Styela clava: one gene and its partner. The protein of the gene in region 2 interacts with the protein of the main gene of each other region in a pairwise test. Links are inferred from orthologs where the notes say so. Each region holds a gene or a part of one and is shown on either strand. Other genes may lie near its edges. The genes, in order: WD40 repeat-containing protein SMU1 and protein Red-like.

Region 1 (17,343 bases), on a different chromosome or scaffold from region 2:
GTTGGCATGCTGGACTCTGCATGAATGTGCTCTGATTAGCTGTCCGCCATGTCGTATAAAAATAACCGGTCCATCTTGCCCAATTACTTTTGCAGGGCCCTTCCAACGTTTTTGATCCTCTCTCTTATAATAAACCTCTTCTCCCGTGAAGAATTCATCCCGAGTCTGTCGGGTTTGTGTTCGTAATGCTCTTCTTATTTTTTCGGAAGATTCTGATTCAATAACTGCTTTCCTGGCAGCTTGCATTGCAAATATATTATTGGCTACAGTGAGACTTATAGATTCACCTTCCAAGGCAGGTGGGTCATCATGAGTAACTGATGGCAAAGTGGGATTCCTTCCAAACACGAGCTGGTTAGGGCTGAAGCCATTGTTATTCACAAGTGAGTTTTTTGCGCTAACAGCCCAAGCAAGTGCAGTTTCCATATCACATTTCTCAGCTGCCTTAACCTTCATCAATGTTTCTGTCAATGTCCTATTGTGTCGCTCGCAGAGTCCATTAGACCACGGTGAGTATGCAGCTGTCGTCGTGAATGTTATATTAAAATTTCCACACATATCTTTGAACACTTCAGAATCAAATTCTCCGCCGTTGTCACTCAGAATACGAGCCGGACTTCCAAAAATGCCTATCCAATTTTGCATGAATTTCTTTACAATTGTTGATGAAAATTTATTTCTCACAATGGCAGCTCTACTGTATCGAGTGAAGTGATCAATCATATGCAAATACCACATATCAGAACCTAGCTGATGTAGATCGACCGCCACTGTTTGATTAAAATCATTTGCCCATGAAAGTCCTACAACTGGACGTGGCGAAGGTTTTTTGTAAACTTTACATATTTCACAATCACTGACTGTTTCTTCAATCAGGCTCGAAAGATCTGCATTCCATTTTCCTGCATTCTGAATGAGCTTCTTTAATTTGTCTTGTGACGCATGGCCGAACTGTTTATGCAATTTTGTAATTTCAGCTTTCCCAAATTCTTTATGCCCAGTGCTTTCTGATGCAAGGATTTCATTACGACAACCAACTTCTGCCTTCATTTTAGGCAGTATATCTACCGCATAATGTCCATTGGTAGATAAATGCAACTTAAGATCTTGCTTGAGCATTACCGCACGATCGTTCTGCATGTCAAGTATAGTGCCTGCACGCTTTAGTGTGCTTTTGCTGAGTAACAATGGCAAGTTTTCTTCATTCACAATTTCAACCTCCATTCTCAGCAACGTTCGGCCAATTTGTACAGGAATTATAGCCTTTTTCTCAGCTTTATTATTTCCATCAAGCGACTGCAGACGCACCAAAATTGCCTGCTTTTCCTTTGGCACTTCTGTTATGGAAATCCACATGTCCAACTTATTTTTCCATTCTGCATAGCTAGTACCGCCTCCAAACCTTGGTGGTGGTATTTGTTTGGAAGTCATTTTCCTCTGCTACCATGTAAAGTTGACAATACAACTCAGTTCAAAGTCAATACATCGATTAATACAGATTAACAAAACCACAAACTAATAATGAGCATGCTGCCCAAACAGTGAAAACAGAAGACAAAACACAATAGAAAATTATTCACGCCTGAGCGAACATAATAAATGAAGCAAAACGAAAGTGAAAGAATGCAGTGCTTGAAATGAATAAAGTAGAACAGTAACAGATGGTTTTCACATCTTCACTGCAAACAAGGCTTCGAATAAGCCTCCACTAACCACATTAGGAGGGGGGGGGGGGGTAGTCATGCATTTTCAAACTGGAGGTCTGAAATTTTTAATTACCAAATTGGACCAAAACCACTAGCGGGCCCAGGTACAAAGCAATTTAAGCTACCAAAAATTGATATGTGTGATACAGAAAATTTACATTTCAAAAGGGGGTTCGACTCACAAACCCCCCTTGGGTTCGCCTCTGTCAGGAGGTACAATATTTTGAGAAAGAACCATAACCTTTTTGGTCGGTTTGTGAACCAAATTTATTATACTTTAGAATTCTCCAATCAGCCATAAAACCCTGCTTTCCAACAGTACAGAATGAGTAAGGAATAAAGATTTCTAAAACCAGGACCATTGGGGAAGCTTTACCTGCATATTCATGATTGATACAGTATTAGATCGATTGCAAACGACAAAATGTTCTAAATTCTTCGGCAAGACATGGACGCTGTTGACAGTGATATCCTGCTGACCTCCTCCAAATGACTTGAACGTGTTGCTGCATTCGGTCGTCTTCACACTCCAAACCTGGAAGATAAAATATTTTTTACATGTTTGTAAATACATGTTTGTTTAGAAAGGATCACAAATCCTCAATGAAAAGTGAAAAATTTATGATGAGAAAATTGTTAATGCAAGTTATTACTAATGTTCTAAGAGTTATATGTATAGTTTTATACACACAGTGATATACCTCGGTAGTCCAAAATAATCCATTCAGGATTGGTGTTCGACTACCGATTTGTTCCGAGCATCAAAACTTTTTTGCCATAAGAAACAAGCGTAATGGTAACAGTTAAGATGATGCCGTTCGGGTGACATCATCTTGGCTGATACAGTCTAACTTGACAATTTTAAATTTCTTGGCTAACGCACGCCCCTGTCACATACACTGCGAAGTAAAGAGACTCATCTCTGAGCAAAGTTACAGGCAACGACTGGCGAAACAATAGAGAATTATGGCGTTATATTACACTACAGTATTCAGGTACAGTTACGAGCAAACACTGAGGGGCCGTCCGAAACTTACATAACAGTAAATAACAGCTAATAAAACGTTTTATCTATCTCTTATCTTACTTTTATCGTTCCATCTGATGAAGCGCTGATAACATTATGCCCGTCATTGATAAACAAAGCCTCATTTACAAAGGAAGTATGCCCTCTCATTTCTTTCAAAGATTTTCCAGATTTCAAACCATGGATTCGAATCGTTTGGTCAAACGAAGCACTGAGAATCTGAAAATAAAAAAAGGATTTTATACTAACCCCTGGTAGATAATGTGACAAAGTAGGTTTCTGGGTTAAAATAGAATATCAAAACTAGGAGTCTAACCACCAATGTAATAGTATGGGAATTTGGGCCATGCAGCTTATCTTGCAACCAATGTTCCCTCTAATTTTTTGTAGTATGTGTGCGCAGAAATTTTGGTGTGTGCGCACTTTTTTGGAAATGACTAATATTTGTGCAAAAACCAATGAAGAAATTTTGGCATTCTAACCGGGTGATAGGTGGGCCAACAACAAACTTTCTCAACCTGCCAACCAAGCACATTTTCACATTACATCGAAATACGTCTGTGCGCAGTAAATCTATGCGTGTGCGCAGCCTCTGAAAGCTGTGTGCGCGTGCACACGCGCACACCTTAGAGGGAACACCGCTTGCAACCTATTTACTTTAACAAAACTACATCGTTGGATATTATGTCAAATTTGCTTTGTGTCTTAGCTTCAACTTTGTGTTTAAAATGTCGATTAATGGCCACCCATACGACGAGATCGTGAGATACACTATCAAAATTGAACATCATTTCCCAAACGGCATACCTGGCTTCCATCTTTAGAGAACGTAACACAGGTGACTCCTTTAGTATGAGCTCTCTCAAACCTACGCAGACATTGGCCTGTAGTCAGCTTCCAAACCTGAAAGACAAAAACTTGTATTTCAGCCACAATTCTGTTGGACACAAAGTGGACCGTGCTATGGATCGTTTTGTTGTTATTTATCGATCTCGATCGGTAAGTATGTTCATAATCATAGGTGTTTGTCTGTTAGACACTTTCATATGTTACGCGATATCTTGAAAGCGAAGGTTGAATCTGCTCCAAATTTTGCATGTGCATTCATCATATCTCGGACCAAAAGCCTATTGGATTTTGGATGAATTATGTCATTAAATCAGCGAGTTATAAATTAATTAGTGATGGGACACTATTGTCGCTATTTAGTCTGAGCGGAGGAATCGAAACCGCAGTACGATTGATAAGACGGCAGTCTCTGATCGCTATCTAGTTGATCTCCTTGTTAGTATTTCTTTCCTTCTTATGAAAAAAACGCTCTCTTTATTAACAACTGGGACAATCAGATTATTGTTTATTCCAACTTTCCTACCAGGGGTGTGTCCAGAGCAGGGGTGGGCAACGTACGGCCTGCGACGAGATTTTGACCGTCTGCTGACTGTTCATCAGTACATTATGATATTACATTATTACACTTTTGGTAAATCATGATAAATTCATTATGTGTTTTTTGGTCTCTATTTTTTTGTAGTTTAAACTTTACTTTAAACGTGATTTATAATTTTCTTTCTTGCATTAGCGAATAAATATGTGATTGAGATATTGAATACTATTCATGTTATAATCCGGCCCACCGAGAACCTCATTTTCTAACATATGGCCCGCCGACTAGAGAAGTTACCCACACCTGGTCTAGAGCGACCATAGGGGGTAGCCGCCCCAGGCAGCACATATAAGGGGTGAGTTTGTTGCTTAGTTTGATGATTCGAATAATAATAATACAAACATTTCAATCTTACTTTACCTTTATTTTATTTATTCTCATACAAAATAAAATCTATAATTTGTTCATCCCCCAAATTATCTTTGAAGTTATGTATAAGGAGAATCATTATCAGAAACTCGAGCAGCAGAAAAGTTGGACGCGCTCATGTTTTCTACACATTTGTATTCAAGCGAAAATCCTTTTGAACTCAAGACACAATCAAGTTGGATGTTTTAAACCACAAGGCTATATTATACCTTAATTTTTCCATCTTGGGCTCCAGTTGCCAGCATCTCACTGTCTCTACTGAATGCAAGACACAGAACCGCATCATCCATCATCATGAATTGATCCTGGGCTTGAAATTGTAAATCTTTACGAATTTTACCGGTCGCGAAGTTCCATACTTCAATAAAACCGTCAACACTGTAAAAAAGAAATTGTGTGAGGTTGTGATGTTTCATTTCGCTTCCCGGGAAGAGAAAAGCTGATAAGACAAGCTGGTATATGTTGATACACAGTCTCTTGCTCAGTTATTATTGTTATTTCAGGGCAAGATTTGTAATAGACAGCACTTAACACCGGCAGTTCTGGACAGATAAATTTTAATTTTTGAGGCAACCATAACAAACCAGCAATTATGAAAACCACCCTGAAACAAAGAGCAGCACAGAAATCCTCTCGCATATATTTATCTGAACCCTAACCCAATACCAACTATTTCAACCTGACAGGCTCTCCAGAAGTATGTGTACCAATATGGAGGTAACTATTTTTGTTCGCCTACTTTACATCAAGTTGTGTAAAGGGACTGAAACCTATAGACGGGGTGTATTCACTTGGCTAACACAGACAATCTCGAACTCATAATAGAACTAAAATCTAAACTAGGATAACCTGAATAAAATTATCGCCTAACCCTAATACGAAGCTATATTATGTAAAGGACCAATACCCAGGGAAATAGTGAAGTTACTAAACTAAGGAAAAGGGGAATGTAAGAAAAGGGTGATAACAGCTTGCTAATACTAATGACTCATGGACTAAGCCTTGATCATAGCATGACGTGAAATAATTTTATGGCTCAGTAAAATAAAATATATGGGGGTAATTGCCATGGTACACATACTACGGGAGTACCCACTGATACTTACCTCCCAGTCACCAAGTACTGTCCATCAGGAGAAAACCTTGCGCATTCAACATGAGATTTCTGACCAAACTTGATTGTTTTATTCAGCATTGTCGGATACTTTTCATCCTCTTCCTCTCTTGTTGCTGCTTTTCCTCGGAACAAATCAATCGTTGACCCTGGAGAGGTAAAAAAGAGAGTGACGTTAAATGGTTCCATTACATTTGAACCCACGTACATTTGAACCCATGACAATTGCACTTGTATGCTATTGCACCTATGGAATTTTTTTTGTTTCACGGATAGTTAAACCCATACTAACCCTAACCCATGGGTTTTAGCACCCGCATATAGATTGAACCCGTGGATATACGCATGGGTTCAAATGTACGTGGGTTCAAATGTACGGTCACCACGTTAAATACATTGCACAGCTAAGTTTAAAATAAGTCAGTAAAAACACCACAAACTCCATGCCCATAGGTTGAAGTTTCGATTAAACTACAGAATAGTACGAATTATGCAAATAGCTAACTAGTGTTACCTGGAGGTAAAAGTCCTTGATATTGTTGCCATTTCAGAGCCTGGCCGAGTAATGCCATAAGACGAGATGGTGGTACAACACTGACCTGAAAGAAAGATAATTAGACTGATGAACAAGAGTGCAATGCTTAAATATACGGATGGGACACTGTTGTTGATTGACTTGTACGGCCACTCCAATATCAGCAAAATACCAGCCAAATGTTCTTGAAAGAATTGTACTGAATGACATATGTATCAAATTTATCGGTTTCCAAATTACTCTAAGACAAATCTAGACTGTTAGCATTTTGTACCTTCTCAAAGTACACAAAATTCCAGATAGATTGGTAAATTAGCCCAGTTATATAGGTAGAAGTGATTTTTCACAACAGCCTTAACAACAGTCAACCCAGTGACCATTCTTTCTTTGATCTTACTTCCAAAAATACACAACAATTTAAACTCACCTCTTTAGCCAGGGACTGAGCTATCACGGCTCTTCTTTTTTCTTTGGTTGATCCATCGGGATAGGCTTCTCTCGGATCAAAATATGACCTTGCCAGAAGGTTTTCAAGGTGAACGTAGCGATCTGAAAATGCAATTAAAATTAAAACACTATTTGAGGTGCTCATTTTTTACTCTATGGACACATTTACTCCGAACTCGCCTCAGTACAAATGGATATGTGGAGAGCTAATAATTTTTGAGATATCGGAACCTCTACCCAAACTGAATGTATCACTATTCCGGATACATTCTGAGAATATATTTCGAATATGAAATATCAAATACAGCACCTACAGCTCAGAATATCTAATTTTTATATAAAAATGTTCTAAATCACTCCCAAATTAAAAAATTTACTAATGAATAAAATAAATTTCGACATACCAACTGGCACAGGATGTAATTACATTAGCAAGGCAATGCTAAAAATGAAAAGACCGCGGCCCTCCTAAATATAGTAGCCCTCTGAGTGTCTGGTCTTGCTAGTCTGGAGCCCTATCCGAAATTAGGAAATTACAAATTACGAAATTAGAAAGGTTCTCATATAAGCTGACCCTACAAATCACAACACGTCATACCTGCCTATCACAGCAAATTCAAGTTGCAGCTGTTAGAATTAGATTAGCATACTGTTATTTGGTTTGAGTGCCATCAGAGATATTGCCATATAAGACAAATATTTAGTGGTATCTATCAGAGTTACGCAAGTATAAGCTCACCCCTTAGTTTGGCAACTTTTTTGAGTTTTAAACCCTGCTTATATGCGGCAAGGATATACGATAAGTTTAAGATTTTTCTGATCATGAAAAATGAATTGAAAATAACCCTAATTCCAACCTGGCTGTGAATGCTTTAATGCAAGCATAGGATCTGTCTGTCTGAGAAGAGATCTTGCCGCACCAAGTTCTCGTAGTTCCACCAATTCCAAAACAATTTGTTCGTATAAATCCACTAAAGTCTTGTCTGGCAGCTTTAAGGATTGAATGGCCTGAATAAAGAGTGGTAAAACATTTTGAAAGATTTGCATGTGGATGGCTGTTCTCATGGAAATCTCAGAAAGATCTTCCGGGTCTAAAAAGCGTTTGAGCTATGAAAAATTGCTATGTATGACACGAAATACCCTCTTTTTTTATTCATTCGCTAAAGTCTTGTCTGGCAGCTTTAAGGATTGTATGGCCTGGATAAATTTGAAAAAAATTGCATGTGAATGGCTGTTCCCTAAAAGTCGCAACTCCAATTGTTTAGTATCAACCAGGGATGGCAAAAATCAAATAATTCACTATTGCAGCGGTTCCCAAAGGGTGGGCTTAAAAAGAGTTGACCTTTTACCTTTATTCTATAGTCCTACATGTTTAAAAACTTTAAAATTTCTAACCGCAAAGTTATGTTAAAATAAAACAGCCAGGGCGTCTGATCAAAAATTGTGGTTTTCAAGAGGCTTGGTGGAGTCTAAGAGCGTTTCAAGCTATGAAAAATTTGCTATGTATGGTACGAAAAAAATGCTTTTCTTTACATTCCAAAAAAGAGGGGGGATTCCGACTCGCAAAACCATTCCCCTGGTGATAAACATGTGATTTAAACCAGAGATTTTTAGCTTAGAATAGCTACATGGTGGAGTCTAATGCTTTACCTGCAAAACTGTGTCCCAATGTCCGTTATTTATATCCGACACAAAGCCATCTATGCTGTCTACAGTGTTGAGTGAAATAGTGGATTCTTCTTGAAGGGTTGCCAGGGTTCTGAAATAACAAAATGAATTTTTAGGATAAGGTCTGAAACAATTTGAATGAAAGTTCTGGAATAATAAAATGAACAGGTAAAATAATTGACAGGCCCAAAACAAATCAAACATAACTGGAATTGAATTTCTGTCCTGTATGTTGGTATTGTTTGTTTTGAATGTTCCAAGACATGTTGAAATTTCAAAAAAATATTTAAATGCTCTTAGTTTCAGCTAGTTACTGATTAAAGTTTGAGGCAATATTCACCAAAGTGTTCCAATAAAAAGTTGGAGTAATTTAAAAATCCGAAGTATATCTTAGCACCTGTTGAGATTAAAAAGGAAAAATACATGTTCGATTCATGTCCTCGAACAGTTCATTTCAACTTTTGTATTAAACAAAGATTTGTAAAGTTGGCTTATTTGCGAATTTTTATAAATTCCCCAATTCAGATCTGTTTTAAATGGGACTGCTTATAAGCGAATTATCATAAATTCAACAATTTGGGTCCTTTTTTGGGGGTCGGCTTGCATGCGAATAATCATAAATTCATCATTATAAAATCATTAATTATATTAAAGGATGTACGGTAACACACCTGTGCAGGTTACTTTCTTTCAAATATTGCTCCACAAGCCTGATAACATCAGCAGATTCAATTTCTAAAGTCATTCTGTTATTTTTTTTCTAAATAATACCTCTATGATAGAATAAATAAAACAAATTAAACTTTGTCTTAGAACAGTAAAATGATAAATAATGATGTTGACAAAAATAAAATATAATGTTTTACTAGCACACAAATATCTATCAGATGAAAAATAGACAAGACCTGATTCAGAATAGGTCGATTTGATAGCTGGCACATTGTGCTATGCCAGTGGTTCTTAACCTACTATGGGGTCAGGCGGCTTTAAGCTCTTATGGCCCTCCTGTTTATTATTGTAAGCGCCTAACAATTACTGTGGTGTTGGTATAGCATACGACGCTACGTTAGGAGGTACGAAGTACGTATTACTTGTAGAATAAAACCGTAAATTGATAAATGTTAGTCAAGGAATAAAAGTGGCATGTTTTCTAATAACAAAGTGGCATGTTCTCTAATAATTGTTGTTGGATTTTTACAATTATTGAGCTTAAAATTAGATTTTTTTTTTGTTGCCCAATGAGAGGAGTCCCCGAGCCATCCCAGTTAGTGGAAAGAGTAAATAAACAAGCCAATCTGTTGTGGAACACGCAGAGGGTAATGAAACAAAACAACAATTTAGGACAGATAAATACAATGCATATAATGAATTTTGCACTCAATTCGAACTACAAACAGAAAACTAAAGATATTTGCTATGAAAAATTTTTACAAATCTAAACACTAACATGTGAACACCAATGTGAATTACAAAATAAATTTGATTTAAATAGCAAAATTGATTGTGGATGAGAAAGTCAGGGGTCAAAGGTCATTAAAATTCATTCTAGGCACAACATATCTAAACACTAACATGTGAACACCAATGTGAAACACAAAATAAGTTTGATTCACATAGCAAATTTGATTGCAGATGAGAAATCCAGGGGTCAAAGTTTATTAAAATACATTCTAGGCACAACATATCTAAACACTAACATTTGAACACCAATGTGGAACACAAAATAAATTGGATTTACATAGCAAATTTAATTGCAGATGAGAAAGTCAGGGGTCAAAGGTCATTAAAATTCATTCTAGGCACAACATATCTAAACACTAACATGTGAACACTAATGTGAAACACAAGATAAATTTGAATTACATAGCAAATTTGATTGCGGATGAGAAAGTCAGGGGGCAAAGGTCATTAAAATACATTCTAGGCACAACATATCTAAACACTAACATGTGAACACCAATGTGAAACACAAAATAAATTTGAATTAGATACTAAGATAGCAAATTTGATTGCGGATGAGAAAGTCAGGGGTCAAAGGTCAATAAAATACAGTCTAGGCACAACATGGGGGGGGGGGGGTTCTGAAATTTCTATTTGCCAAGTTAGATCGAAACAGCTCGCGGGTCCGACCGAACGCTGGAAAACGTGTGTTTTCACGAGTAATGGAGGTCTAAAAAGCGTTTCAATCTACGAAGAATTGCTCTGTGTGATACAAAAAGATGCTTTTATTTTTTTTACATTTCAAAATGGGGCGACACCCAAAAACACCCTCCTGGCTACGTCCCTGACCAATGTGAAATAGAAGATAAATTTGAATTACATAGCAAATTTGATTGCGGATGAGAAAGTCAGGGGTCAAAGGTCAATAAAATACAGTCTAGGCACAACATATCTAAACACTAACATGTGGACGAGAAACTCAGTGGGTAATAAATTGGCTAGGCAATGCTGTACTGGAAAAATTCAGGCCAGTAACTTCTGACATGTCAATTTCTAATTGCCTAACTTTTGTCAATCCCCATGGTCACCACCCAGTTTGTAAGTAATTGGGTAGGCAATGCAAAACAGGAAAAATCGGTTCTTTCAAAAGAAAGTATCCCTTTATGTATCAGTTGCTACTTATAGAGAGTTTAGATGATAAAATGCCTCATAATAAAAAATCGCTGAAATTCAGTTGCACTCGCATGACCTAATTAGGTTGAAATTGCATCAAGATAGGAAGAAATAAATTCAATTGTAAGCTATTCCCATCCAGTAACAAGACAAGAAGCACCCTCGTGTTAAATATAAATATCGTATTATAAGGAGATATTGGACAGTGAATGCATATAATGATTCTGCACTCGAATTGAAGCAACTCAGTGGTGTATCGAGCTAACTGTTGGGAATACGCTTGCCACCGCATCTCTGATTACCCTATGCCGGTTCGAACTTCGAATCCCATACGAAGATGATTATATGCGAGAGGATTGCTTGACACCTCGCCGACGTGGGGTGGTTCACCTAACCGTTGGGTGATTACAGTTTCCTTCGCCATTAAGTCCATGCACGTAAACTGCTTGTCTGAGGAAGTCTGATTTGGGTCGGACAAAACGTTACAAAAATACATTTGTGTTAGTGTGCAGCACAAGCGACTCTTAAATTGCAAAGCAAAGAAATGTTCTAAATCGGTAACATTCGAAAATATATTTCAAAAATTTATTATTTGACTATTTTTTATTTGAAACTTGCTATTTAAATATTCATATCCACTTCCCAAAGAGCACTAAATAAACGTTCTTTTTTAAATTAAGATAATTTTTGGAAATTTCTCATTTTAAACCCAGACTCCATGTTATTCCCTGAACCAAGCCTAATATAACAGGTTGCCAAGCTACAAGGTACCTAATCCAATCCAATAATTGACCATATAAAATATGAGGCCGCTCCCAAGGGCTCGTGAACATTCTTTTCAAGTCAACTTTCTCTTTACAGTAAGGGCAGGTTTGCTTTTTACCCACAATGCACCAGCCACGAATGCACAAATCGTGAAATTTGTGGTAACATGACAATTTGTAGACTTTCTCTGTATTTTCGTCATCCTCGTCTACGGGAAGTACTAAAACAAGTCCGCAGACAGCGCAAACGTCCGGAGATAATTGTTTTGTTGGCATTCCAGTCTTTGTGTAATATCCAATTGTTGAAGCCATCGTGTCTGAACATATTTCCGCAAAATCGCGACCCATAACTCCGTAGTAAAGTCCGTAAAACATCAAAACGACGCTAAAATCCATAGCTGTCTCAGGGTGAATCCTGAATGCCATATTAACACCCATCATTGTTAAAACAATCAGTGAATAACCGAAAACGCCGATAGCGTAGCAAATTCGAAACAAAATTAAAAACCATTGGTAAACCAATCTTGGCGTTGTACCACGAAGTGGTTTCTTCCTTGCTTTCGTAACAACAAACGCCGTAACGACAGTGAAAATTACCCATGTTGTTAAAAATCTCCACCAAAGATAATGTAACGAGAAAGCTAACGGTATAATCCACATCCCAACCAAAGTCGCAATGTTGTAAGATTTAGGGTGACGGTTCTTCCATTGTACAAGCGCTATTTGTGACACAATTAATGTCGAAATAAGAATAAAAATCATCTCTAAATGCATGGTTTCATGGCCTTTATGTTTCCGCTGCATCTCGAGACGCTCTGCGATAATTTTCTCCTTTTCTGTAAGTTGTTTCGTTGGTTGGACTTCAATCTCTATAGTTTCTTTAATTTCTTCCATTTTTTAAATTATTAATTAAGAATGAAATAAATATTAAACTGTCTTAGTTGAAACAAAAATAATATATTATTATATAATTTTCACCAATAGTTAGGAAGCAATAATTCAAAAGGAAAAATAATGAGGCTCAGTACTTCAATATAATTTAACCAGATAATCAAGAAAGTGAGAATTGACAGCATAAATGCCATTATGTTAGAATGCAATTATTCTGGCCTGTCATGCATCAACGCTTTCTATCCGTGGCAAAGTAGTCGGAATTGCACTATAGGTAACTCTGTAGGTCTGTATAGATTTCCATACGCTATTTAGGGTATCTCAAGACAAGGGAAAATCCAATAACATGGCATAATCATATGGGGAACCTGACCATATATAGACCCTGTCAAGTCTGGAAATAGTCGACCTCGGGACAAGTGTCAAACACTCGCAGTCGGTTTATTCAGATAAATCAAATCTCGTTTGATTCTTTTTATAAATAGTGACTTAGTGTCAATGACTAGAGCAGTTGGGGCCACTCATGTAGTATGTGAACCAAGATGGCAGACACCGTAACATAGTAGGTGTACCAGGTTAGGCCATAATTTCAGGTACAAATACTACAGGAGTCACTTGGCTAGTCACCGAACTCCTAATAGGACTAAAAAAGAAAAATTGGAATAAAATTATGTCCTAACCCTAACCTGGTACACATGCTACGTTCCGGTGTTCGCCATCTTGGTTCACATACTACTGGAGCGCCCACAAGGGAGCCACAATGCTAGGCGCAAAACTGATTTTATTTTTCCTTTTACAAAAAACTCTAAAAAACCTCGGGAAAGGGGCCACGCCATGGACAGTTGGGAACCCCTGGACTGGAGCCTCCTTATCACTGCTTATGACCATGAAAACATAATCCATGAGTTGCTTTCCAAATATACAACAAAGAGAGGTGAGAATCAGCCTACCTCACAACTCAGGTGAAACTTAATCCAACAAATCCAATATTGATCACAATATATCAATACGGAGATAAATTATTGATTATTAAGGGATTTAGAATTGAGGTAAATGATATCCACAGATTGGATCCAAGTTCTTGAATCCTTGATTAAAGATATGAATAATGCAGAATATCCTTCACCAAAACATGTCAAAAATATACAATTCAAACATCAAGACTTTAACTAATTGCACCAAGAAATAGCAATAAAATAGAACATTATAAAAGTGGTACCAAGTAGATTCTCAATATTTAAATGCACAACTGGTAACAGGCAGGCAGTAAAGCATCTTTTCATCTGTTCAGGTCAGGGGTGTGCAACCTTTAATAATACAGGAGCGCCAGATACACATAATTGGGTAAAACCGCGGGCAGCAAATTTATTTACCATAGGCTTTCTAGTAGATGCAGGCACAAAAATTAGTGAGTTATTGATGAAAATGTGTTTTTTATTGTGTGTGAGCGCTTCAGCAATCTGTCTGAGTTATGTATTTTACTTTTCCAGTAATTTGTGTGTTCAATACAATAAGAAAGTTACATGCGATTATATATCTTCCAAGTATTCGAGATTCGATTCGAAAAAATTATTCGATTCTGAAATATCAGGTATTCGAAAATGCCTAGCCCCAGTATTGATCTGATGACATGCAGTGCTCGCTTCGCAAGAGCTCAGGTATAGGCTTTGCAACGCACAGGAATTACTCGCATGTACTAGATTAAACTTGAGAATTTTGAAACTCGTTTCTCGTGCCGCACACCATTTCAAAATAGGCATTTCTCCACGGGTCACACAATTTTTCCTCGTAGTCGCAGGTTGCACATCCCTGGTTTAGAGTAAGATTTCAATATATTTATCCCGGAAGAGCAGATAAGACAAATCAATCATATGGCAAACCATGTCCACTCGTTCGGTTACCAATCCATGATGGAATTAGATAGCCTAATCAGTTATCAGTTATCAACAACTGGCCGGGTTACATGAACCATCCAACGCCTGTGAGGAGCCAAGCAATCCTCTCGCATTTGATTATCTTGTTTAGTAGATTAATAGGCAGGGATGGCCAGTTTGAATATCTCGTCATTCGAATATCGGAATCAACGTTTATAGGAATATCGAATTTTTGTGTAACGTCACACATCTGCGACATCGCTCTCGAAGCGTCTTCATTGAATGTTAACTTTCTCAATAGAAACTTGGCATAAACTATCAAATAATTTGTGTACATATACTGTTGGTTTGTGGCCTCATTCTAATATTTCTATTGGAGCTATTTCCTATTTTACTGGATATTACCGTAATTTACTAAAACAAAAATTTGTATGTCTGATTTTAGAATGTATTGAAAATTCCAGATTCGAAAATATTATTTTAGAATGTATTCGGAAGAGTGCAGTATTCGGAACTGGGCATCCCTGTTTATAGGCACATTAAATATTGAGAAAACTTGTATCGTATGCTCCTTACATTCTTACTACGATGGCGCAGTACAGGGGTGTGCAACCTGGGGCCAAATTCGTCCCTCTATAAATAATTGTGTGGCCCACGAAGAAGTGACAATTTTGAATGAGGTGCGGCCTGAGAAACAAGTTTTAAATTTGATTTGGTACATCCAATTTACTATCTAGGCTTATGACTTCATAATGCCTTAAAAGCTAAGTGTGGCCCGCGATTTCACCCAGTTATATCCATCTGGCCCTCCTGTTTTAAATGTTTCACACCCCTGAGATAGCATTATTGGCACTTACAAGAATAATAATGATGAACAATCAAGAGTACCTTTTGGGAAAAAACCTGATGAAAAAAATCATGAACATAAACACAGCGCAGACAAGAGCAAGAGATATCCACAACAACCAGTTCGTCCCTTTCTTTAAATGACTCTCAAGTCGTGACGACTCGGTTTGAAGTTGGCCGTAATTCTGATCAGCTTTTTTAGAAGATTTTTCGATCACATTCAAATCATCTTTTATAACTCTGTTAGAAGCCATAATGTTGTGTTTCAAATTCCTTGTTAACGCAACCATTTCGTCAGCAATTTTTTCGTGCATTTTATGTTGATGTTGCAGTATAGCTTCAGTGTCTGCATTTTGCGTACTTCCACCAGAAGACGTTGCTCTATAGCGCACTCCGGCTGATTTCTCCTTCTCTGTGAGCATGAGTTCGTCGCGCATTTCCGTAGTGTATCTCGACGATGCCTGCATTTGAATCTGCTTTCCCGTCGGAGATTCTTTATTAGTTGGAATCGTCCGAGACTTTGCTGGCACGAGTAGTTGGTTAGCGAGAGATTTTTCTGATGTGACAGGTAATTTTTGAGTCTCTAAAAGTTGTTTTAAAAATTTAATTTTCTTTGCGTATTCACTGATGATATCTTCCTTTGGTTTTTCCGAGGAATCAAGCTTTTGGACCGCTTGTAGACGTTCCTCTAATGCTCCAACATACTTTTCAAGTCTCCAGTCATCAGGTGTGTTTAACCCAGCCATCTCTTCACATCTGGAAAGCAGTCGTATAAGACGAATCTCTGCTCGGCTTCTCACTGCAGGAGCCATCTTGAAATAACTTAATATTTAGCTATTATTTATTTTATTTTAGTGACAGCTCTAGATTAGATTAAAGATTTGGAATTTATGTCTAGTTTGTTGACTTCCGCAATATAAACTAAGATAGGATTCACATATTTATCCTGGGTCACACAAAGTATGTATGTTTATTTGCCTCAAAATGTAACAGTATCTGCATAATAATTGAACAGTATAACAGAGACGGGATACATGTTCAAGACCTTACTGGCCTAAGACACAGATGTGCGACATGTACCCCTAACAATTATAACAGCACTTTAGGACTGATGCGATATACCAGGACAACAGACATGAAATTGACAATACAAATAAAACTCTAGTAAAATACACAAGACAAAAAGGTAAGGCACAACGACAATATGTACAATAGTTTTTAGGTGCGGACAGGCCCAGAGAAACAAAACAAATATCAAGATTGGTTTTTACAATTAGCTATTTATTATATTTTCTTATAATTAAATATTCACTGGACATGTACCGGACTCAAATACATGGAGAAATAAAGATAATATTGAAGCAATCATATTACAGTATTATCACAGATTCAGCAATAATTAAAAAGTTGGAAATATCATTAACAATGCCTTTTAGAGTTGAACATAATAATCATCAGATTGATGACAGAGCAATTATTTGTGTAAAAAAAAAGATAAAAAAAACAGCAACTTTCAATTATGCACACACAAAAGTTAGAAAAAATGGCCATGACCTTCAATAAGCAAATCAAACACGAGATAGTCTATATTTCGAGAAAATAATTTAAGGTATTAGGACTAATTAGAATATTTCACTAGGAAATACTTTTTCAGTCAGTCAGCAGGTCAGTGTCTTACTGAAAACATGCACAAATAACTTTTTTTAGTTTTAGGTGGGAGATTGCCCCAAATAAGTATAAGTATATTAAGTATAAGTTTATTTCGACTCCATAATCAGCAAAACAATAAAATGAATTGTAAAAATAAATAAATAAAAACTGCTTATGAAATCAGGAGAGCGAACAAAACCTTAGATAAGGTTTAAAACGTACAGAATGCATATAAGATGGAAGGTTTTGCCAAGAAGATGTGGTACGTGTTCACTCACATAAAATAATTGAAATATTTCACACAAGCTTACACGCACCCACACACACAACCATATAGAAGTTATTAAGTAAAGGAAACATGAAAAATTACATACTGGTAGTTAATAAAAAATAAA
Region 2 (16,419 bases):
AGTACTGAAGTTTCTTTACGTGTCCATTGCTTCGTATATACTTTCAATTGGGACTCGCTTTAAATCTTGGTGTGCCAGACTCATGATGGCCATGTTATGGTTTTTTCGCGACTTTCCGTCAATGGCGATGAAATCCGATATTCTTATCATCTAAATTCTAATGTATAATAGTTTGTGTTTAAAACATTCGTGATTTTTTGCATGACGAAATAAACTCATTGTTTATCCACTTTGTGTCCAACAAAAATTTGACCATACAACTAATACCACTCCGTGTCTAATAACATAACACCAAACATGCAGGGAGGATCTCCAGGAAAGATGTCAAAAATTAGGCAAAATCCAGTCTCGTGCATCGTGGCAGAGAAAAGCAAACTATATGGTATCGCTAAGTTGAGAGACAAAAACTTCCGATTTTTTAAATAGGCAGATGAACATTTCAACATTAGGCTGAATTTCAAAAAGCAATACACTTCTTGGAGATTTCCCATGTGACATCATAATTACAATTATGCATAGTGAATGCTGAATCTAATTATAACCCATTATCTGGTTCAATTGAAGTCGCATAATCATACCCTTTTTAACTGATAATATTAGGTCTGTATCCGATCCCTTGCCATAAGAAATTCACATAAACATTTGCAATGTAAATCTTTATATTTCAGGAGAACATTCTGGAACATTTCCAAATAAAGACATGAATAGTTGATTCCTAGCTTCGTGAGTAAAATCTGACTGATCATTTGGTGCCATGAAGCTCTGTAATTTTTGATGTATCTCATACCTTTGAAATATCATGTATTATTATCATTTTTTAGGTTCCATGTGTGTGTTAAAACCCGTCAAAAGGTTGCATTAAAATATTAATATTATATTGAATTATTATATATTTCATATATTGAAATATTCATATTATGGTCTCATAATCATCTGTATTGCGATTTAGAATACAGAACACTGGAAAAAAGTAAATACTTTTATAGTATATCAAGCGAGTCAATTTATTATCAATTAAATTCCACTCCAGAAAACGTTTTCAATGTGTCCCTAGTTTCTAGCAGACTACTCCAAATAAAACTCTTCAAAACATTGGCATTGGGTCCTCAAATCTCATAATCAAATTGCATAATTCAAGTAATTAATCCAAAAACTGTGATAGATAAATGAGAAGTCAAAAATTTGAAATAAATACTCAAGTTCATACCTTATTTTTCTTCCTTTACTTGCTTTTGTGTCAACATTTTTCTTTGCTTTACTCCGTAATCTTTGTACTTTTAACCATTGCCTTGAAAATTATTTCAAATTGGAATTCATAAAAATCTTTAGTGATCACTTTGACAAGACAATTTACCACCACAACACAAAAATATTTCATTTATTTTTTATAATTTAGGAAAGCAATATTCATGGTACTTTTAACCATTGCCTTGAAAATTATTTCAAATTGGAATTCAAAAAAAAAATCTTTAGTGATCACTTTGACAAGACAATTTACCACCACAACACAAAAATATTTTATTTATTTTTAATAATTTAGGAAAGCAATATTCATGAATAGACATTCACTAAAACTATTGAATCATTTTCATAAAATTCATCAGATACCTTCAATGCATGATCAAATTTTATGAAAAATAAAAATTAATTTTCAATTCAATTAAATTTTTATATATGATATTGCTACAAATATGTACAAACCTCGTAAGTTCAACTGGATCTGATGAACCTCCAGGTCCTGATGATTTTTGTTCAATGAGTTGTCGAAGTAACTGGTGATAAAAGTCATCGTCATCATAGATTTCAGGCAGATATTCTTTTAAATGACTACTGTGGTTGTCGGCATCTTCAACAGGTGTCTATTGATTGAAAACAAAAGCTAAAGGGCAAAAAGCAACAGTTGACAGGGATGGGTGAAGTCAATAACATAGACCTGATATGAGTAAAGGACTGAAGCTTGGCACACAACTCTGTTCAATTATTCGTGCCTTCTTTGATCTTAAGGCAACATGATACTAAAATAAATTGTCTTTGAAAAACAAATATATTGTGAATTATATTTATTAGGACTTTCCATTTTTATTCCAAGGTAGAAATTCAATAAGACAGCATATCCATGTTGCGAACCAAAAAAGATTAATGCCCAATCACCAGTCCAGATCAGCTTTGGAAATAGCTGAGTTACCCGTAATTATTCGAGATTGATGGATACGGATGCTGAAGGAGTCAAGACGTAACCAGCTTAGGAATCCTTTCACACATAACTCCTTATACCAACATCTCAAACCAAATTCTGGACCAAAAATTTAACATACTAAACCACAATATTTCACAGACCTCTAGTTTATTAGACTGAGTCGTTCCCAGTATACGATAGTTCGTTCTTTTCAATTGTGTCCGCTTGATTAATCTTTCACGGTCTTGTAATATATCTTCTATCTGAGAAACTGTCGACCGTTCAAAATTTGAGAATGACTGAAATATAAAGAGTCATAATTGTTATGAAAGAGGTAAAGTAAAACATTATGATATTCTTAACTCTACAAATATGACGAATACTGATTTACGTATGTATACCTTTGATTTTGATGTCGCTGTTAATCTTGTTTTATCATACCACAACTTCAGTACTTTATTCCTATGAGTTTTATATGAAGTAAATCTGTCTTGGATCATATCATTCACCTCTTCCATCGACGTTGTACTTTTCCGCTTGTTATTACTATGCATAAAAAATAACAATAAATTTAGAGATGACTACCCACAACATTTCTATTGATGTGTGTCAGTCAATGGGAACATTACACAAGATATATCTCTTCAATGTGCACTGTGATTTTGTAGTGTCATTCAAGTCCCAAGCATTATAAAATAAATAGAGCAATATGATCGCATAATGTTACTGCTGCAACAGCAGATCCAGACGATTAAAATTTCAATATACCAGTGCAAAAACTTCAGATTTTGATGACGATAAACTTGGAGATACTTCAATAAAATTCATTATTTAATACTATTGAAAAAAACTAACAATTTCACATACTAAAGCTAACGTATCACTGAGATTTAGGTACCATGAATGTATTCAATTTAGGGTTTTTGACAATAAACATACCTGATTTTAGAATCTGCTATTGACTGAGTTTCAGGATTTTGAGTGAGAAGTCTCCTTTCTAATTCTAACAATTTGTATAAAAGATTAGACAAAATTTTATCCGCAGATGAAAGAGAAGCTGGTAATTCAGTTTTAAATAGTTCCATCTTATCATATTGAGGTAATCTGTTAGATATTGTAAGTATCTTCTGAAATTTGATTCGAGCTTCAAGCATATTTTCCCACAAACCTAAAAAATATAAAAAAAATTCTCAAAAAAACAAATTGAATTTATTCGCAAAGTCAAATAGTCAATATCTGTCTGTTCACATCTATCATTTGTTTATGTTTATCCTCGACAAAGAGCATCGATAACTTTGAACTAACAGTAAAAAGTGTGCTCTTATACAAAATGTGAGGTAAGCAAACAGAAAAGTTATGGCCCTACTACATTGTGCAGCAAATGAAATTTTAGCGAATATACCGTAGATAAGTATTGTACAATACATTCAGGTATCGTTTTCGTTATATGACGTCTTTCACTTTAAACAAAGCTCTATACAAGTCTCTATTACACCAATATGTAAACAGCTGCTTTTTTCTTAAGGACCTCAATCATTCACCTTATTACACCCTGAGTGAGGTGGTGATCATAGGTTCGAACCATGGATCTTTAATGCCAATATAGTTGAGCCCAAAACTCTAGCCATCATAGGGCTTCGCTCTAATGATATAAGTATGACCAAACAATTACATAATCCAATCAATTTGTCATTCCCATCAAAAATATTGTCCAACATTAGATGAATATTAGAATTAACCAGATTGGCAGATAAAACTAACAAATTTTAATTAATAAAAGAAACGTAAGTAATCTCACAAAATTGATTTCTAGTAGCTCTCGATTTTAATAATGGATCAGCCTTTTTCCTATTTTGAAATATTTTTAAACTGTCATCGCCATCTCCATCGGCTTCATCAGAATCAATTTCTTCATCCATTCCATCATCTTCATCTAGCATAATGTCTCCAACTTCACTATTATAGCTAGTATCACCATTCATTTCTCTGCATTAGTAGTGAAAAACATATTCAAATCAAGAATTTGGATACAGGATGTCAATAGATATAGAAAACAACATAATAGAAGTAAAAGAATATACCTCTCAATATCTTCATCAGTTTGATCATCTCCACTGTCAATATTTTCATCTTCAGCATTCCCATTCTATAAATAAATTGCAATTATATAAAACACATTCTAAAAAAGACATTTTTCATCACCCAAACTTGACAAATGATAAACTTTTGTCCTAGCACATGAATAAATACAGCCAACCTACACTACCAAACTATATTATCAACAATGACACGAGGATAACGATAAAATCAGGTAGAGATACTAATAAATAAATAAATGCTTTTTTAGACATAGTGAAGTTCAAGAAATGCAAAATTTTTTCCTTATACTCGGACAGGATCGAAACAGAGGATGAAAAACAATTATAGCGCAATTTTTATCCTAATTCTTGCTGTGGCTGCACACTTGCACAGACTATCTCGTCTATGATATGCACTAACTGGAAAATATTTTCAGTCAAAAACACCTCGACAGCAAAGATATTTGATATTCTCATAAAGACTAAAAACGATATTTGGAGGTCATGATATTCGAATTACAAAAGAATTCTACTATCGTACATGATTTTTCTCACTATTCTTGACGATACAGAATAAAACGGAAATGTAATCTAAATACCTTAATGCACTTCATGATAGCAACAATATTTACCTCCAGTTCAATGTTATCTTCATTGCCAGACTCACTTCCATCACCATCTGATGTTTGATTCCTTGATACAACTTTACCCCTATATAGCTCTCCCATGCCTTCGAGCGACTGCATTTTTCTTCGGCCAATTCCAGGAACATGTTGAATAACTGTTCCATCTTCAGCATCACTATTCAAATCATCTTTCTCTACAACTTTAGCTCTGGTTTCTAAACAAAAATTCTACCATGTAAAAATACAACAATTTTCATTAGGTATAGATAGTCGTAATATATCGTTTTACTTAGTTCGTCACTTCAATCATGGAGTAACATTTCGGTCAGATATGCTAAACCCATAAAGTACAGTCATTTCAAAACTGGGTAGCACATACAGTTATTAGTTTCTGGCATTACTGCATTATATAAAGTAGAAATGCAAATATCAAACAAAACAGATGATCTATATATATTTTAATTCAAGAAATTCAAGAACAAGGAGTCTATGATCAAGGATACAATTTTTCTAAACCAAAAAAATCTTCAAAACAAAATTGAAAGCCTTTTAGGGAGAAGTTTCAATCTCCGAATAATTGAAATGTGACAGTGATTCAGTAGTTGAAGAGAAAACAATTCAATTTATACCAACCACAATATTCACAAACAATGTTTGAGTAATAATAATAATACTGGGTCACTGGTTACAGCAGGGGTGCACAACCTTTTCTCGTTTGACGGGGGCATTACATTTTTGTAAAGCTGACTTTTTCAACGAGTGGCGTCATCGCGATCAGGTTTCGAACAATAACTTCTTTACATAAACGCCAAAAAAATCTAATTTCATCTGGAATTAAAGAACCGTTTCTCTGTTAACGATATCCCGCTTTAGAGATATGAAAGAATATTCAGAGCTGTTACTTTTTTATAATACTGATAATTTATTTCCATTACAGACACAAGTAATGATATGATTTTTCGTAACACTCAAGCGCCAACATAAAACATAAATTATTTTTCAGTAACACACCAGCACAGCTGCACATTTTACCTGCGAAAGCCGCATGCGGCCGTACGGCTGCAGGTTGTGCCCCCCTGGGTTATAGCGTTCAGTCAAAGAATATTATGAGTATGTAGGTACCCAGCAACTCAGTAGCAAGCCAAAAAACACCCCTAAATGGTCAGGTCTATTTAAGTCTTTAGGTGCCATAGCACAACCACAACTGTAGAAGTGCATCACAGTTTTAGCAAAAAAATGTGCATAAAGTGAACAGTAATGCATTGAGTGTTATATCACAAGTACCTTCATAAATATCATCTTCTGGGTCAATGCTCTTCACACTCGGATCGAAAAGCCTAGCAAGTTGTTCAGCTAAAGATGTCATGATGACATTTAAAATTGTTATGTATACTTTAAACTTGATTTTGTACTTGGTTTTCTAAATAAAAAAAGCAAACATTCAATAAACTGATAAAGGTCGATACCCTTCGATTGACATTATTAACAAACATTTATGAATGCCCAATGTAAAATTTCAGATAGTGGCAGTCTCCATGCATTTTAATGAATTTTAGGAGAAAAGAACAAAAACTCTTGAGAAAAGTGGGTATGTAAGTACTTTATTGGATTTTATCGTCACAATCATTAATTCAACAACTTTTTATTGTAACATTCAGAAAATTCAAACCTAAATATCAGAATTATGAGATCAGTTACAGAAGAGCATCCATTTGAACTACAGTACCAGTTTGTGGCAAAGATGTGACTAAATGATACAAACCACAATCATAATCAAATATAAGAAACTCCATTCAAAGGCAAAAATTCCAAAATATGCACTCATTAAAATAATACGGTTACGACAAATTACACATTCTATACTTGTCTATCCATTTATATATACACAAATCAATTTACAAAATAATGATATGAGAATATCACTTTTAACAAACAGACATTCAACATGATGAAAACATTGGCAAATACAGTAATTCTCACAAGTTCAACCTTGAATTTTTTTATGATCAAAGTAATGCTTATAACTTGATAATATATAGTTAATATTTCTTATAATTCGAATCTCCACCCTTTCGCTTTTCAATAATTTGATTGATTTGCATCAGTTCGCGATTCAATTTTTGTTTTTCATTCTGCTCCTTGGTTCGTCTTGTTTTTCGACCTCCTGTCATTTTTATTCCATACTGGAAGGCAGCTTTAGGCATTGCTTCTTTCTGAGACATGTAATTACTATATTCTTCTTGAGTATCAAAGTCCCATCTTCCAACTGGACCTTTCTTACTACCTTGATCCATTTTACTGTAATCTGCTTCATCATCACTATCGTCTCCTACGCCTGATAAATTGTATTGCGCTGATGGATAGCATTCCATGTAACTGTCAGATGCCCCCGCTGTGCCAATGAGTGGATTGCCTTTGCCAGACTCTTTCTTTTGCTTTTTAGTTTCTTTGGTTTGGTCTGGTTGTGACGACCCTGCATATTTTTCATTGACATTTTTTACAAAATTTTTCACTGAAGCAGCAACAGCTTGTTTTGATTCAACCATTTCTTCTTCCATTTTAGGTTTCTCAAAATAAGAATGAGCATTTTTTGCAGGCTTGCTTCTGTTCTTTTTTAGAGTAGGAACATATTCACCAATATCATCAAATATGCCCATGTCTGCTTCAATGGGTCTTTTATGTGGCCTATCATTTTCAGTCTTTATCTTTCTATCTTTCTTCTTTCTATGCTTTTCGCGAGCACCTTGACGTAAATATGACAATATCTGAGTCAGTTTATTAATAACAATATCGTTAGTTGATAATGTTGTTTGAGACTCGAGTGTTGGGCAGTCTGCTTTACTACGAAGCAGAGTAGTGGGAATATCTGTGTCTGCAAACTCATCATCGACTTGAAAAACGTACGCCATTCGTCCCGGCAAAAACAATTCATTTCTTAGTTTCATTTGAGGCTGGAAGACAAGTCTGTGTATGTTTTTTGCCATTTTTGTTTTGAACGTAACCACTTCTTTCTGTTGCTGCTGTTGTTCTTCTTTCGTGTTTTCTATGTCTTCAGATAAAACTTTATCAAGTTCTTCGTCCTCTCGTTCTTTTGTCGATATCTCAGCTCGAACCTTTTGTAAAAGAGCGAAATCGAGACCTTTTACCAAGTGAGTATGAGCCATGTCACCTCCAAGATATTTTGATTCTTGGATGACTTGTCTTCTTTTCTCAGCGGAAGTTCGGTCCGCTTCAGCACTTGGGCCAACGGTTTTGTAATTAGCAGTTGTATTGATAAGATCAGATTCAGCATAATCTCCTTTACCTTCTCTCCTCTCTTTTGCTCGATCTCTATATTTCTTTTGAAGTTCAGCCTGCCTTTCCATTTCTTGCTTTTTAAGTTTTGCATACAAACTTTTCTTTTTTCTTCTTTTTTCAGCAGCCGATTCATGATCTTCTGAATCAAATTCTGATTGGGACGCTGAGACTCGTTTTGCTCGATCATCGTGAGTTTTTTCACCACCAGCTTTAGGGGTCGTCAAAAATTTTCGAAAGTCTGCATTGGTTAGAGGTTGTTCATTAACATTGCCATCAGTCTCATGATAATGCTCAGGGGGCAGAGGATTAGAAAATTCTTCATTTGCCATAATGCTTTATTGATAAAATTAGTTCAACAGTATTTATAAAATATAAAAAAAAAAATGAATGGCTGAGTATTGAACTGTCACTGACATAACGGCGCGGCGTTGTGGCTCAACGGGCTAAGCGTTAGGAATACGCTCGCCACCGCACCTCTAATTACTCTGCGTGGGTTCGCAGGTTCGAATCCCATGCAGGGATGGTTATGTGCGAGAGGATTGCTGGACTTCTCGCCGTCGTTGGGTGGTTCACGTAACCGCTGGTCGGTTACGGCTTCCTCCACCACCAAGTCCATGCTTCCGAAAACAAACAATATAACTAATCCCATACCATACCCGACTTGGAATGGTAACCGGACGAGAGGCCGTGGTTCGCCATATGAATAAGCCTTCTTATCGGCTTTCCTCTCCCCCGGGATAAATAGGTAAATTCTATCCTATCCTATAACTGAAAGAGATTCCAGTTTAAATGAAGATGGATGGCTTAAACTTGTATATGCCGATTTCCACGCTTTGTCGCGTAATGCAATGGTGGTGAAATAGTATCGACACTTTGATTGTTCATTATCTTCTGTGCGAGCGTGCGCCCTTATTGTTGCGACACATTTGCATGGTCGCAAGATTGGCACTATCGCCATCCCCTTGCAATGCTTCTAATTTACGGATTCATTTGTATTAAGTCAAGGAAGTCACATAAATACAAATAGTCAGATAATAAATAAGTTAAATAAAGTCGTGCACTTTGTTACAAATTACAACACCCAATAAATTGTCTCATGTCTTAAAAAACGAGTTGATTTATTGGAAAAAATCCTTTAAACATTTTCACACTTTTGGCAAATACCGTATTTTGATAATGATAGTCAAAAGTATCGACTTTTTATTATGATGATTTTCCGTTGCGACAAAATATTCAAATTCATGAACAATAACAGCATTTAAAATGCCTTGTCGTATTAATTTAATTTTGTTTAATAATTAACCTAACTCGTGGTTGCGTCAACTAACGAAAAAATAAAAGTATTACCGACAATCTGCAGCATTGAATGGTGTGGTGCACTGGCCAATTATAATTAATTTTTTAAACCTATTACAGTACTTACGAAAAACAAATATTGATACAACTCCAAAATACCACGGCAATCTGTGGACATAAAATGTGTGGTTGACTGCCCGATTAGAATTAACTTTGATTTATTAATTCGTACTCACGGAAAAATAATAATTTTGATAATGATAGTTGAAAGTATGGACTTTTAACTAAGATGATTATATGTTGCAAAATATTCAAATCCATGACCGACAACAGCATTTAAAATGACTTATTGTTATTGTATTAATTTAATTGTTTTTAACGTAACACATAGTTTTGCAGACTCGCGAATAAATTAATGCATTACTACTCTAAGATACGGCGACCATCTGTGAACATAAAATGTGTGGTAACTGCTTGATTATAATTACAAAATACAAAAGCATTACAACTTTAAAATAACGCGGTATCTGTAGAAATATAATGTGTGGTAAAATGCTGGATTATAATTAATTTTTGATTCACACTTTCGTACTCACAAAAAAATAATTTATACCTTTACCCACTTTCGGCAAATAGTTTTGATAATGATTGTTAAAAGTATGGAATTATCGGTTGTGCAAAGTATTTACCGTAAATCCATGACTGATAACAGCATTTAAAATGCCTTCGTATTAATTTACTTTTGTTCGATGTAGCCTAACTCATCAATGCCTCGTCTTACGAAGAATAAAATGTTTCAAAATACCACAGCAATCAAAAACACAAAACTAATGGTAAACTGCCCTATTATAATTAATTTTGATTCGCACTCTCGTACTTACGAAAATAAAAAGGGCATACTACTATAAAATATCACGGCAATCGGCGGATATAAATTTTCTGGTAGCCAGCTTGTAGGTAACGGTAATTCCATTGTTTATTGTATGCTAATTCCGCCATAAAGATAAGCTTGCATTTATTTTCGAAGTATTCGAAACTTAAATAATAATTTTGAATGTATTCGAAATAGTAAATTATTCGGTATTGGCCATCCCTGATGCCGTTTGAAATTTGCTCAATTAGTTTCACAATGTTTATGATATGACAGCACAAAATGAATATCCATGAATGTGGAGAAGGGGCAACATTTTTTAATTATGACCGACTGCACTCCTATGGCCTGAAGTAACATCATTGAATCAAATGTCTCAATGTTAAATGGCGGATAAACAGTTCACCAATCTGCCAATAGGATATCTGTATAACTCAAAATAAATAACGCCATTTCAGCATTTGGTTAATAATTTCTGAATTTAGTTTAAATCAGAAATAGAGTTTGCTATTGGGGCATCATCGAATAGATAGGTTAGATTTTACGAGAAAAAGTTTAGGAATATCAAATATGTCCTGAAGTCACCTCAGGATTGACACGTGAAAAAATTGTTATGCTACGCCTACTAGAAGTACGTTAGGTAGGAAAGTAGGGTGGCTTACCCACTTTGCGACCATCAACTTCATCGATTAAATTAATGCCGAAAAAATTAACGAACCGCGACGATATTTCTCACACGTTATCGTCCACTTATCCCTCGTAGCTCTGCGAAAAGACACTAAAATGCGGCCACAAATAAAAAAGTTACGACCGAAAACCTGACCGAAGAAAAAAAACGGACCATTTTACCATGTCGCCAACTACCCATTGTTCCCTCAAAAAAGCTTGAAAATCCATACAAATATAAGAGATAAAGAGATGAAACTTGGCAGGTGGGTAGAGTTGTGTTTCTTTCAACCATCTTTAAAGTTTCGCGTTTCTACCTTCAAAGGAGGGGGAGTAGGGGGGTGCGCATTTCCAATACGTCAATAATATCTTTGTCAACTAATTTGCGACCACCGTGTTTTTGTCTGTTTGATTGTTGTGATGCGGTGCTTTGTTTATAATTTGAAGAATTTTGTTTGAAATAACCGTGTTCTTAAAATATATAACGGTCAGAAATGCAATTAGAAGCCCATTTTTTCACGCATGGCTGCGTATGCCCCAGTCTCGACACAGCAGAAACGATGTTCAAGGCTTGAAATCCGTGATCGCACACTGGTCGTTCGGTCGCAAATACGTCTTCAGAGTGTCGTACTTTGGTGGTTTGTATAGCTTTAACCCCTGGTCGTAGAAAGTTAATTCGAAGTTCAGCGTGTAGAATAAATGCCAATGCACTTACGGTGAAAAAATTAACGGGTTAGAAATATTGGTTTTTGTTTTATAGCGGTTTGAATGAAATCGTCCGCAGATTGGCTACACCACCCTACATGAGACCCTAATTTTTCTAGTAACACTAAGTGTAAATAATGACTTACAATAACTTACTGTATTCAGATATTAGTATGTACCATAGCCCAGTAGTCTCATATTACTGTACCGGTATTACAGTATTAACTGCTGCTGTTGCCAGACTGCAGTATTGTGATCACAACATGCAGATATGCATACCATACACCTCTGTGAAGCTAGCAGCAAAACACGAAATTGTGACTGACAGAATCGCAGAAAATACCCACGCGTAAAATTAAATGTTCCCAATGATTTTTATAAGAAAGTGTATATTTTGATTATTTTCACAATAGCAATTAAAGCAAAACAATCATTAACTACACTCCTCGTATTGTTAATATATGGTAAACAAGCTAAAGCGACTGTTACAGTGCACAAAATTTTTTTATAATTCTTTGAGAGATGTTTAAAAATGACTGAATTTTCGTCGTGTAACATGGTCGTTTCATGAAAACCTCCAATAAAGGCAGCATTGCAACACCATTGGTGAAAAGTAGAAACCTCAAAGATTCGATTTCAATATGTCAGAACAGTCTCAGCACGTTTTGACTTGACCATATATAATACTAAACATAGCGTATATTCTTCAATTTTTAAAACAATGTATATATAACAAATTTGAAACTGATTTTGTATTTCAATTAAAATTACTGGATAGTTCATCAAAGAAGATATTTTTCTCTTTGTCACACAACAATAATGCACTTCATTAAACTTAGAATAAGTTGAGTAAAGTCTGAAATACTGAAAAAAAATTTACGCCCTCTTGTGGATTCTTTGATAAATTTCACAAAGTTATCGTTTTCGAAAGGGCAATTTCTCAAAAACCGCCAATAAAGGCAGCACTACGACACATTCGAAGAAAAGCAGATACCCTATAGATTCGATTTTAATATGTCAGAACAGTAGCAGCACGTTTTGACTTGGCCAAATATAATTCCAAACATAGCGTATATTTTTAATTTCATTGAAAAAATGTAGATGTGACATATTTAAAAACGGTTTGGTATTTCAACTAAATTTACTGGAAAATTCATCAAATACTTTCTTCTCTTGGGTATACAACAAAACTGTACGTTTATTAAACTTGGAATTAGTGTGCAAATGTTAAAATGCCAAAAAATGATTTGACGCCCTCTTGTGGATCCTTTTCGGAATTTCGAAAAATTATCGTTTTTGAAAAGGGCGATTTCTCAAAAACCGCCAATAAAGGCAGCACTACGACACATTCGGAGTAAAGCAGATACCTAATAGATTTGATTTTATTATGTCAGAACAGTAGCAGCACGTTTTGACTTGGCCATATATAATACCAAACATAGCGTGTATTCAAACTTTTATAAACAATGCAGACGTAACATATTTAAAAACGGTTTGGTATTTCAAATAAATTTCCTAGATAATTTATCAAACATCTTTTTCTCTTGGACATACATATATACTATACGTTCATTAAACTTGGAATAAGTTGCGGAAAGTATAAAATACCAAAAAGCATTTTACGTCCTCTTGTGGATTTTTTTCAAAATTTCAAAAAATTATCGTAATTGAAATAGCGATTTCTCGGAAACCGCCAATAAAGGCAGCACTACGACACATTTGGAGAGAAGCAGATACCTTATAGATTCGATTTTAATAAGTCAGAACAGTAGCAGCACGTTTTGAGTTGGTCATATATAATACCAAACATAGCGTATAATTTTTAATTTTATCAACCATGTATGTGTAACATATTTAAAAACGGTTAGGTATTTCAACTTAATTTACTGGATAATTCATCAAACACTTTTCTCTCTTGGTCATACATCAAAACTGTATGTTCATTAAACTTGGAATTATTGTGCAAATCCTAAAATGCCAAAAAATGATTTGACGCCCTCTTGTGGATTATTTTCGGAATTTCGAAAAATTATCGTTTTTGAAAAGGCGATTTCTCAAAAACCGCCAATAAAGGCATCACTACGACACATTCGGAGTAAAGCAGATACCTTATAGATTTGATTTCATTATTTCAGAACAGTAGCAGCACGTTTTGACTTGGTCATATATAATTCCAAACATAGCGTATAATTTTCAATTTTATCAACTATGTAGATGTAACATATTTAAAAACGGTTAGGTATTTCAACTTAATTTACTGGATAATTCATCAAACACTTTTCTCTCTTGGTCATACATCAAAACTGTATGTTCATTAAACTTGGAATAAGACGGCGAATCCTAAAATAACAAAAAATGATTTGACGCCCTCTTGTGGATTTTTTTCGAAGTTTTAAAAAAATATCGTTTTTGAAAGGGCGATTTCTCAAAAACCGCCAATAAAGGCAACACTACGACACATTCGGAGTAAAGCAGGTACCTTATAGATTTGATTTCATTATGTCAGAACAGTAGCAGCACGTTTTAACTTGGCCATATATAATACCAAACATAGCGTGTATTCAAACTTTTATAAACAATGCAGACGTAACATCTTTAAAAACGGTTTGGTATTTCAAATAAATTTCCTAGACAATTTATCAAACATCTTTTTCTCTTGGACATACATATATACTATACGTTCATTAAACTTGGAATAAGTTGCGGAAAGTATAAAATACCAAAAAGCATTTTACGTCCTTTTGTGGATTATTTCCAAAATTTCAAAAAATTATCGTTATTGAAATAGCGATTTCTCGAAAACCGCCAATAAAGGCAGCATTACGACACATTTGGAGAAAAGCAGATACCTTATAGATTCTATTTTAATATGTCAGAACAGTAGCAGCACGTTTTGACTTGGCCATATATAATTCCAAACATAGCGTATATTTTCAATTTTGTTAAAAAATGTAGATGTGACATATTTAAAAACGGTTTGGTATTTCAACTAAATTTACTGGAAAATTCATCAAATACTTTCTTCTCATGGGTATACAACAAAACTGTACGTTCATTAAACTTGGAATTAGTGTGCAAATCTTAAAATGTCAAAAAATGATTTGACGCTCCTTGTGGATCCTTATCGGAATTTCGAAAAATTATCGTTTTTGAAAGGGCGATTTCTCAAAAACCGCCAATAAAGGCAGCACTACGACACATTCGGAGTAAAGCAGATACCTTATAGATTTGATTTCATTATGTCAGAACAGTAGCAGCACGTTTTGACTTGGCCATATATAATACCAAACATAGCGTATATTTTCAATTTTATTAAAAAAATGTAGATGTGACATATTTAAAAACGGTTTGGTATTTCAACTAAATTTACTGGAAAATTCATCAAATACTTTCTTCTCTTGGGTATACAACAAAACTGTACGTTCATTAAACTTGGAATTAGTGTGCAAATCTTAAAATGCCAAAAATGATTTGACGCCCTCTTGTGGATTCTTTTCGGAATTTCGAAAAATTATCGTTTTTGAAAGCGCGATTTCTCAAAAACCGCCAATAAAGGCAGCACTACGACACATTCGGAGTGAAGCAGATACCTTATAGATTTGATTTCATTATGTCAGAACAGTAGCAGCACGTTTTGACTTGGCCATATATAATTTTATCAACTATGTAGATGTAACATATTTAAAAACGGTTAGGTATTTCAACTTAATTTACTGGATAATTCACCAAACACTTTTCTCTCTTGGTCATACATCAAAACTGTATGTTCATTAAACTTGGAATAAGACGGCGAATCCTAAAATAACAAAAAATGATTTGACGCTCTCTTGTGGTGTTTTTTTGAAGTTTTGAAAAAATATCGTTTTTAAAAGGGCGATTTCTCAAAAACCGCCAATAAAGGCAGCACTACGAAACATTCGGAGAAAAGAAAATACCATATAGATTTCATTTCATTATGTCAGAACAACAGCAGCACGTTTTTACTTGGCCATATATAATACCAAATATAACGTGTATTTACAATTTTATAAACAATGTACACGTAACATATTGTAAAAAGATTTTGTATTTTAACTAAATTTACTGGATAATTCATCAAACATCTTTTTTTTTGGACGTACACCAATAATGAACGTTCATTAAACTTGGAATAAGTTGCAAATTGTATAAAACAACAAAAAAATGACTTACGCCCCATAGTAATTTTGTTTAATATCTCGAACATACCGTTTTTGGAGTGGCGATTTCCACAAAACCGCAAATAAAGGCAGCACTATGACACATTCGAAGAAAAGCAGATACTCCATAGATTTAGTTGAAATACCAAACCGATTTTAAATATGTCACATCTACATTTTTTAATAAAATTGAAAATATACGCTATGTTTGGAATTATATATGGCCTAGTCAAAACGTGCTGCTACTGTTCTGACATAATGAAATCAAATCTATAAGGTATCTGCTTTACTCCGAATGTGTCGTAGTGCTGCCTTTATTGGCGGTTTTTGAGAAATCGCTCTTTCAAAAACGATAATTTTTCGAAATTCTGAAAAGCATCCACAAGAGGGCGTCAAATCATTTTTGGCATTTTAAGATTTGCACACTAATTCCAAGTTTAATGAACGTACATTTTTGTTGTATACCCAAGTAAAGAAAGTATTTGATGAATTTTCCAGTAAAATTTAGTTGAAATACCAAACCCTT

The links.
Region 1: the proteins of protein Red-like (region 2) and WD40 repeat-containing protein SMU1 interact in binary tests that used the Caenorhabditis elegans proteins (3 or more experiments, as listed by UniProt). The link is inferred for Styela clava from reciprocal best matches to the Caenorhabditis elegans genes smu-2 and smu-1.

The regions. Positions count from the first base shown.
Region 1 is NC_135261.1:1,559,610-1,576,952, reverse strand, and holds the start of WD40 repeat-containing protein SMU1, read right to left. Parts: upstream 9,087-17,343; 5' UTR 9,056-9,086; coding exon 8,982-9,055; intron 8,402-8,981; coding exon 8,293-8,401; intron 7,651-8,292; coding exon 7,500-7,650; intron 6,745-7,499; coding exon 6,623-6,744; intron 6,260-6,622; coding exon 6,175-6,259; intron 5,810-6,174; coding exon 5,653-5,809; intron 4,925-5,652; coding exon 4,756-4,924; intron 3,637-4,755; coding exon 3,541-3,636; intron 2,953-3,540; coding exon 2,794-2,952; intron 2,242-2,793; coding exon 2,083-2,241; intron 1,657-2,082; exon of another isoform or gene 1,432-1,656; coding exon of another isoform or gene 1-1,431. Other genes in the region: uncharacterized protein LOC144430759, read right to left, coding at 1-1,431; E3 ubiquitin ligase Rnf121-like, read right to left, coding at 11,622-12,581; vesicle transport protein USE1-like, read right to left, coding at 15,331-16,110. UniProt on the Caenorhabditis elegans protein: Involved in pre-mRNA splicing as a component of the spliceosome. Selectively regulates alternative splicing of unc-52 exon 17.
Region 2 is NC_135257.1:13,443,818-13,460,236, forward strand, and holds protein Red-like, read right to left. Parts: upstream 8,539-16,419; 5' UTR 8,507-8,538; coding exon 6,920-8,506; 3' UTR 6,297-6,919; downstream 1-6,296. Other genes in the region: protein AATF-like, read right to left, coding at 658-787, 1,208-1,288, 1,702-1,859, 2,338-2,475, 2,578-2,722, 3,116-3,344, 3,975-4,162, 4,258-4,322 and 2 more. UniProt on the Caenorhabditis elegans protein: Auxiliary spliceosomal protein that regulates selection of alternative splice sites in a small set of target pre-mRNA species. Selectively regulates alternative splicing of unc-52 exon 17.